2 linked regions of the Arabidopsis thaliana genome follow. The protein of the gene in region 1 interacts with the protein of each later gene in a pairwise test. Each region holds a gene or a part of one and is shown on either strand. Other genes may lie near its edges. The genes, in order: AT2G17670 and MYB73.

Region 1 (4,624 bases):
ACTAAGTTGAAGGCTAGACAAGGAGTGCAGCATTTGGGTCTAGAAGGGCTCGATGTGAAAGATCCGCTGACAATGGAGACTGTCCCTGATGATGGTTTAACCATGGGTGAGGTTATGTTCAGAGGAAACACTGTGATGAGTGGATATTTCAAGGACATAGAGGCAACACGAAAAGCTTTCGAGGGAGATTGGTTCCACAGTGGTGATCTCGCTGTTAAGTATCCAGACGGGTACATAGAGATAAAAGACCGGTTAAAAGATGTGATCATCTCAGGAGGAGAAAACATAAGCTCAGTGGAGGTTGAGAGAGTTTTGTGCAGCCATCAAGCGGTTCTTGAAGCTGCTGTTGTAGCACGTCCAGATCATCACTGGGGACAGACTCCTTGCGGTTTTGTAAAGCTGAAAGAAGGATTTGATACCATCAAACCCGAGGAGATTATCGGGTTCTGTCGAGATCATTTGCCGCATTACATGGCTCCAAAGACTATAGTTTTCGGGGACATACCTAAAACCTCGACGGGGAAAGTACAAAAGTATCTTCTGAGGAAGAAAGCTGATGAAATGGGTAGCTTGTAATCGCCATGTAAGAAACAAAAAAGCTTAGTCTCTGGTTCATGTGTGTATGTAAGGAAACAAAGATCAGAGAATCATAAAACCACCGCGTGAAAATGAAGAAACAGATCAGCCATGGATATGATTTGGCTATAATTAGATTTGTTACGCGGAAGGCCAACGATTTTGTTATTTTTGTGCCTCAGAAAGATTTTAAGACATTAAAAAAAGAAAGAAGTAGCCAAAAGAATATTCCGCCGTGTCTGAAACGAGTCCATTTCGTAGGAAGATTTCAAAGCACAATCTTACTTATCTGTTTTCTCTCTTCTCTCCATTATAAATAAATCTGCATCCTGTGTTAGAATCTTTAAACAAAACCATCTGACTTATCAACAACAACAAGAGGACGAAGAAGAAGAAGAAGATTGTTACTTTCTTGATCGATAATGGCGTCGAATGAAGCTGGAAGGGCATTGCCGAAATTCGGGGAATGGGATGTGAATGATCCAGCGACGGCGGATGGATTCACGGTGATATTCAGCAAAGCCGGTGAAGATAAAAAGACGGGACGGAGTTCGACGAAGACGAATTCACAGAGGAAACAAGATGGTGATAAACCAGCGGTCAAGAAATGGCTCTGTTTCACTTTTGCTTAATCTTTTTTTTTTGTTTGTTGAGTAAGTTTTAATCCTAAGAGAATGTAGCTTTGAGCCTTATGAGCCCTTTGACAACTTTTGTGTTAGAACATTTCATTTCGTTTTTAGTTATCTAATAAAACAAATTCTGAGGTTTTGTTTCTTAATGATAAATCTCTGCATTTGGTCATTTGGAAATCAACAAAATTGTAGTTGTTGATTAAAGAATTGCAAAAGTCATACAAAAAAGGTCTCTTAGATATTGAGGTGAACACAAACTCTTGAACATGTTCAAAATTCATACAAAATGTGTTCTTCCTTACAAAACCTTTCTTTAATCTCTATTGATTTGGTCTGTAGAACAATGTTCTTGTATGGGGTTTATTGAGAAAACACAGAAGATCTTTCGGTTCTTTAGAGAACATTTTGCGGAAAGATTGTTGTTTTTAGGGCTTTGCCCACAAACTTGTACAGAAAGCAAAGAAAATACTGTGTTGAGGCCTTGAGGGAGAGAGGCTATCGCACAAACTGACTTTGGGCTACCATTCAAAAGCCCAATAGGCCCAATGTATTTCTACGGTTTTTCCTATTCGCTAACGTAAGCAACAGACTACCATGCGCCGTCCTCTGTCCATTTTCAACACAACAGACAAAATGCATCTTCACCCACACTTTGGGCCGATATTAACAAGCCCAATAGGCCCAATGTCTTGCCACGGTTTCTCTCATTTGCTAACGTAAGCAACTAGAGTACACGAGTGTAACTACTATACGCCGTCCTCTGTCCATTTTCAACACAACAGAGTCACAAAAACCTCTGCAAGAACCCTAAAGCTAAAACCTTTTTGCGATCAATCGAAAGAAAACAAAAAATGGGGAAAGTTCCGTCGTCGTTTCGTAGTATGCCGGCGAACTTATTGGTCAGAAAAACAACACCATCTCCTCCAGCGCCGCCGCGAGATTTTCGCAACAGAACCGCCGTGGGAGGAGATTCAGCCAAACTTCCCCAGAATACTCAAGCCCCTCGCGAGCCCTCCTTGAGGAATCCATTCAAGTCACCAAATCTCTCAGACGCTAAAAGCCTCTTCAATTCAATCGCCGCCACTTCACGAATCCCACTCGATCTCAAGTTCCACAACTCTGTTCTTCAATCATACGGTTCAATCGCCGTCGTCAACGATACGGTGAAACTCTTTCAGCATATTTTGAAATCGCAGCCTAATTTCAGGCCGGGACGTTCAACGTTCCTTATCTTGCTTTCACATGCTTGTAGAGCTCCTGATTCGTCGATTTCGAATGTTCATAGAGTTCTTAATCTCATGGTTAATAATGGTTTAGAGCCTGATCAAGTAACTACCGATATCGCGGTGAGGTCTCTTTGCGAAACGGGTCGGGTTGATGAAGCTAAGGATTTGATGAAGGAGCTCACTGAGAAACACTCTCCTCCGGATACATATACTTATAACTTTCTACTGAAGCATTTGTGCAAATGCAAAGATCTTCATGTTGTTTATGAGTTTGTTGATGAGATGAGAGATGATTTCGATGTTAAGCCGGATCTTGTTAGCTTCACTATCTTGATTGATAATGTTTGTAACTCTAAGAACTTGAGGGAGGCAATGTATCTAGTTAGTAAGTTAGGTAATGCTGGGTTTAAGCCGGATTGTTTCCTCTATAACACGATTATGAAAGGTTTTTGCACACTGAGTAAAGGGAGTGAGGCGGTTGGTGTGTATAAGAAAATGAAGGAAGAAGGTGTTGAGCCAGATCAGATTACCTACAATACTTTGATATTTGGACTGTCGAAAGCTGGTAGAGTTGAGGAAGCTAGGATGTATTTGAAAACTATGGTTGATGCGGGGTATGAGCCGGATACTGCTACTTACACATCACTGATGAATGGAATGTGTAGAAAAGGTGAGTCTTTAGGTGCGTTGAGTTTGTTAGAAGAAATGGAAGCAAGAGGGTGTGCTCCAAATGATTGTACTTATAATACTTTGCTTCATGGATTGTGTAAAGCAAGGTTGATGGATAAAGGGATGGAGTTATATGAAATGATGAAATCAAGTGGTGTAAAGCTTGAGAGTAATGGTTATGCTACACTTGTGAGGTCTCTGGTTAAAAGTGGCAAGGTCGCAGAGGCTTATGAAGTGTTTGATTATGCAGTTGATAGCAAGAGTTTGTCAGATGCTTCTGCGTACTCTACACTTGAAACTACCTTGAAATGGTTGAAAAAAGCTAAAGAACAAGGCTTGGTTCCATAAATGGTATCCTCTAGCTGAGCTTTACCGACTTTCTTCTTTATGCAAGTCCATATTTCATTTTTGAAGTAGTGTTACTCCAAAAGCAATGAATTTGTTTCGAAATATGCTGTTCGATTCTTAAGGGACCAGCAGTGATTTATAATAGTAACTTTGTTGGTAATATTATTGTCACTTGAGATTTCTAAAGGTTTCCTTAACACTCGAGTTATTGATTGGGTGAAAGTTGTTGCTGTGTTTCTATATGAACAGTCATATTCTATTATTCTGTTTGTATCAGCTTCTTGCCTTCAGTGTCATGTACTCTGTTCTTATGAGCTATTGTGAATACCATAATTGGTTATTGATCTTGCCTTGGGTTGTTGCTTGAGAGATCAAGCAAATAATATTTGCTTTGACAATTGCAATATCTGTTTGGGGTAAATGAGGCAGAGTATCTGAGTAAAGATTGTTTCTTGTGAACAATTTTGGTTATTGATCTTGCCTGGGATTGTTGCTTGAGAGATCAAGCAAATCATATTTGCTTTGACAATTACGCTATATGTTTGGGGTATTAAATCAGGCAGAGTATCTGAATAAAGAGATCGTTTCTCTTGTTTGGCTGCAAGAAGAGACTATTATCTTCTTGAACAATCTTTTCTTATATGCTCTGTTTTAACACTAAGCAGCCCAAGTGCAGAGTATTTGTGAATTATCAGTTGAATTACAAAGTACAAACCAAATCATTGAGGGGGACAAGAAAACAGAGGACAACGTTAATGGAATCATGAAGAAGATTTATAAGTGGTCAACATTCTGGTATTAGTCTATTTCATTGTTTATGACCAAATTCTAATCATTTGGTGAATAAACTCTTTTGTTTATTTTGATTTCTCTTCTGTCATGTTTCATTATCTAGTGTATTTTGCTGCAACATCTGTTTCTTTGTCTCCCCCATTAAACAATAGAACGCTACGGAAATAGATACATATTAGGAAGAAATGTACGTACCGCGAGGTCCACGAATACATGATTCGCCTACCATCATTGTGTAATCTATCGATTATCATAGCCTCCAGCTTTTTCTTTTAGTATAAGTTACTCCTAGCTGTCATGTTCTTATATATATCTTGCATATCTATGACTATGTACTCTAGAGAATATGAAGGAAGCAATAATAGACAATTATGGAGACAA
Region 2 (3,923 bases), on another chromosome or scaffold:
AAAACAAAATTTGGAGGGTATTTAAGTTATTCATTTTCATTATTTTGTGTAATTAATCTATGAACTTCGTGTGTATATATGCAAAGTTGCATGAAGTGGAACTTGGTTTTAGATATTTATGAATATCTAGATATTTGTTGTATTTCAGTTTGTTAGGTTTTGTTCTCTCTTTCTGCCAATTACACACACTTTTGTTTTACAAAGAACATAAATAAAAGTTACATATATATCCTGAAAAGTTTGCTTCACTGTATATATATCATCATCCTACACGCGCTTCACCGGCGTTTACCCTTTCAATTTCTGGTTAACTAAGTTGAACCGGATTAGTAATTCTTCGGTTTAGTTGTTCTTCTATACGACAATTTATCACTTGACAAATATAAACGATCTATTACTTGCAACATTCATATTTAATCTAGTATCTTACACGTACATATTTGTTAGAAATTCAATGACCAAACATTGCAAAACTATTACATTCACTTGTTGCATGTAAGCTAGAAGCCTAGAACTCGCTGTCAACGACTACAATGTCTACATTATTTTCACCGACACAATTTACATCTTAACCAAAATTTGGATATTGGACCAATCGTTCGTTTATATAATAACCACACGTATCAATCAACACACAGAAGACAATGACATGTAACAAACAGTGTAAAATATTGAAAATAACTTATCAAAAAACTTTAGTTCATAACACAAAAACTTTCGGCTATTTTTTATTGACTTCTATGTAGTCTTTTTGTTGCACTTACTATTTTTAAAAGCAATATGTATGTTTCCAGCAGATTCTTAGTTTTTACAAAATTTTGCCTTTAATATTTTTTTTGATATACATTGCCATTCTTGATTTCATTTTCTTCTACAATAGTATCAAAATTTTACAAAATAAAACTTCAAAAAACATACGAAAAAGTTAACAAATATTCAAAAAGAGAATGATTTTAAAAAGGATATAAATATAGAGAGAATAAAACGTAGAAGTTAACGATTTTTTTTTGTGAGTGTCACTTTAGATGGAAAATGAAATGATTGGGTAAAAACGCTCCACCTGTAAAACAGAGAGTGGAAGAAACGCTCCTGTGTACGAGCGTACTCTCTCTTCAAAAGAAAACAAATCTCTCAAAAAAAAGAAAGAACAATTGAAAAAAAAAAAGCAAATCTCAAACTCAAAGTACATATACTTACTTGACACGTGTTAATATACAGCTGTATCCCAAGTCCCCAACCGTTTTTCCTGGAAGATTCTCTGCTCTCCACGCTCGATGTTAACCTCACACAAACGCTTATCTCCCAAAACGCCTTTTCCAATCGCCAACGTGTTTTATTTTTGGTTTAAAATAAATATCTGTTCCAATCATACAAACACGTAAATGTTGTCAATTTTTTTATACCCAAACGTTAACGAGGTTTGTACGTAGCCCATTTATGGACACATAATTATGAACATATAAACAATGGTTAATCATACGTTTAAATTAATTAAATTCACCAATATTTTTTTGACTGAATGAGTCAAAATTGTTTAACGAGTAACGACCATAATTATCAGTTTTTATTTTTTATTGTTTGAACTACCATAGTTATCCGTTTAACACTGAGCAAATCTCTTTATTAATAGAGAAAACGGTTTTATTTGTTTCCTTCTATAAAATTTGTTTTTAATAATACGTTAGATATTTTTATGCAGTTAAGGATAATATTACACTGTAAAGTTTAACTAGTTTAATATCGTTTCTGTTAAATCGATAAGAAAAAATTACCGGTTGAACCGGTGACCCTTTTGCCCACTCCTTTCTCGTATAAATACTCTCTCTTCTTGCTCTTATCCTCTTCAACCAAAAAGCTTTTCTTCCCAACACACACAAAAAAAAAAACTGTAACGACCAAAAAAAAAGAGGACGCGTTAGAAGAAAAAAAAAGAACAATCCGATAAAAAGATCCGGCGATGTCAAACCCGACCCGTAAGAATATGGAGAGGATTAAAGGTCCATGGAGTCCAGAAGAAGATGATCTGTTGCAGAGGCTTGTTCAGAAACATGGTCCGAGGAACTGGTCTTTGATTAGCAAATCAATCCCTGGACGTTCCGGCAAATCTTGTCGTCTCCGGTGGTGTAACCAGCTATCTCCGGAGGTAGAGCACCGTGCTTTTTCGCAGGAAGAAGACGAGACGATTATTCGAGCTCACGCTCGGTTTGGTAACAAGTGGGCTACGATCTCTCGTCTTCTCAATGGACGAACCGATAACGCTATCAAGAATCATTGGAACTCGACGCTGAAGCGAAAATGCAGCGTCGAAGGGCAAAGTTGTGATTTTGGTGGTAATGGAGGGTATGATGGTAATTTAGGAGAAGAGCAACCGTTGAAACGTACGGCGAGTGGTGGTGGTGGTGTCTCGACTGGCTTGTATATGAGTCCCGGAAGTCCATCGGGATCTGACGTCAGCGAGCAATCTAGTGGTGGTGCACACGTGTTTAAACCAACGGTTAGATCTGAGGTTACAGCGTCATCGTCTGGTGAAGATCCTCCAACTTATCTTAGTTTGTCTCTTCCTTGGACTGACGAGACGGTTCGAGTCAACGAGCCGGTTCAACTTAACCAGAATACGGTTATGGACGGTGGTTATACGGCGGAGCTGTTTCCGGTTAGAAAGGAAGAGCAAGTGGAAGTAGAAGAAGAAGAAGCGAAGGGGATATCTGGTGGATTCGGTGGTGAGTTCATGACGGTGGTTCAGGAGATGATAAGGACGGAGGTGAGGAGTTACATGGCGGATTTACAGCGAGGAAACGTCGGTGGTAGTAGTTCTGGCGGCGGAGGTGGCGGTTCGTGTATGCCACAAAGTGTAAACAGCCGTCGTGTTGGGTTTAGAGAGTTTATAGTGAACCAAATCGGAATTGGGAAGATGGAGTAGAGTGATAAGAACAAGTTTTCCCTCTGTTTCTCGGGAAAATAAAAGTTTCAGGCTTTTCATGTATAGAGCCAGTAGTAGAGACGACGAAAGGAGGAAGCGAAATCAAAAAATGTTTTGTTATCATCATCATATGATCTTCTTTCGTGATTCAATTAAAAGCAAAGCAAGATCATTTATTAACAATTTACACAAACTTGAAGAAGAAAAGTCAAAAACACTTCTCAAACTTTTATTCTATGGGTTTGTTACGAGGAAACAAACATAAACTAAAAGTAGTAAATATAATCTCACGTGACATAATATATGACCTGAAGAAACCAGTCGAAACGAAACATATATACGATTTTGATGTTTCATAAGCGATCATACAATTCACAGTGTCTTGCTTTTGCAGAATTAGACAAAGAACAGCAAGTTACCCCCTAATGTGCAGAGCTTAAACTGTTGCTGCTGCTACTGGTTGGTTCTTGTGAGCGTAACTTGTTGATTAGATGAACTATGTCTTGTTTCCACGACCATGATGGATCGTTTAGACCACGTACTGAGTTTAGACACACCAGAAGAGTCCCGCCTTCATGTAGAAGTACCTATGATCACAAAAATGCAGGTTAGCGGTTTTGTCTCTCGGGTAAATGATGGATAACAAAAGCTTGTAGTGGGTATTAGCTTACGTACCGTCAACCACAATGGGACAAACCCTAAAACTGAAGGAAGAGCGGCCAAGAATATCGATGTTAATGCAAGAGCTACGTTTTGCTTGACCTGCAACATGATACATTCTTGTTAAATCAGGCAATCTAACATCTGAAACTGGTTAAGAACAAAGACTTTTATGTTTTATCTACCAATGATGTTGTCTGGCGGGATTTAGCGACACAGAACGGAACACCGGTGATGTTGTCTCGAAGCAGTAAGATGTCAGCAACGGCAATCGCAGTGGCACTCGCTCGTTGAGCAAGAACAATCCCCACTGTTGCAGCTGCTAGAGCTGGAGCATCATTAA

What was found.
Region 2: the proteins of AT2G17670 (region 1) and MYB73 interact in binary tests that used the Arabidopsis thaliana proteins (3 or more experiments, as listed by UniProt).

What each region holds. Positions count from the first base shown.
Region 1 is NC_003071.7:7,672,361-7,676,984, forward strand, and holds AT2G17670 (Tetratricopeptide repeat (TPR)-like superfamily protein), read left to right. Parts: upstream 1-1,958; 5' UTR 1,959-2,059; coding exon 2,060-3,451; 3' UTR 3,452-3,916; downstream 3,917-4,624. Other genes in the region: AT2G17650 (AMP-dependent synthetase and ligase family protein), read left to right, coding at 1-576; AT2G17660 (RPM1-interacting protein 4 (RIN4) family protein), read left to right, coding at 999-1,208.
Region 2 is NC_003075.7:17,538,645-17,542,567, forward strand, and holds MYB73 (myb domain protein 73), read left to right. Parts: upstream 1-1,845; 5' UTR 1,846-1,957; coding exon 1,958-2,920; 3' UTR 2,921-3,155; downstream 3,156-3,923. Other genes in the region: HMA1 (heavy metal atpase 1), read right to left, coding at 3,343-3,507, 3,596-3,682, 3,766-3,923. UniProt on the Arabidopsis thaliana protein: Transcription factor that functions in salt stress response. Acts as a negative regulator of NHX7/SOS1 and CBL4/SOS3 induction in response to salt stress. In response to auxin, activates the transcription of the auxin-responsive gene IAA19.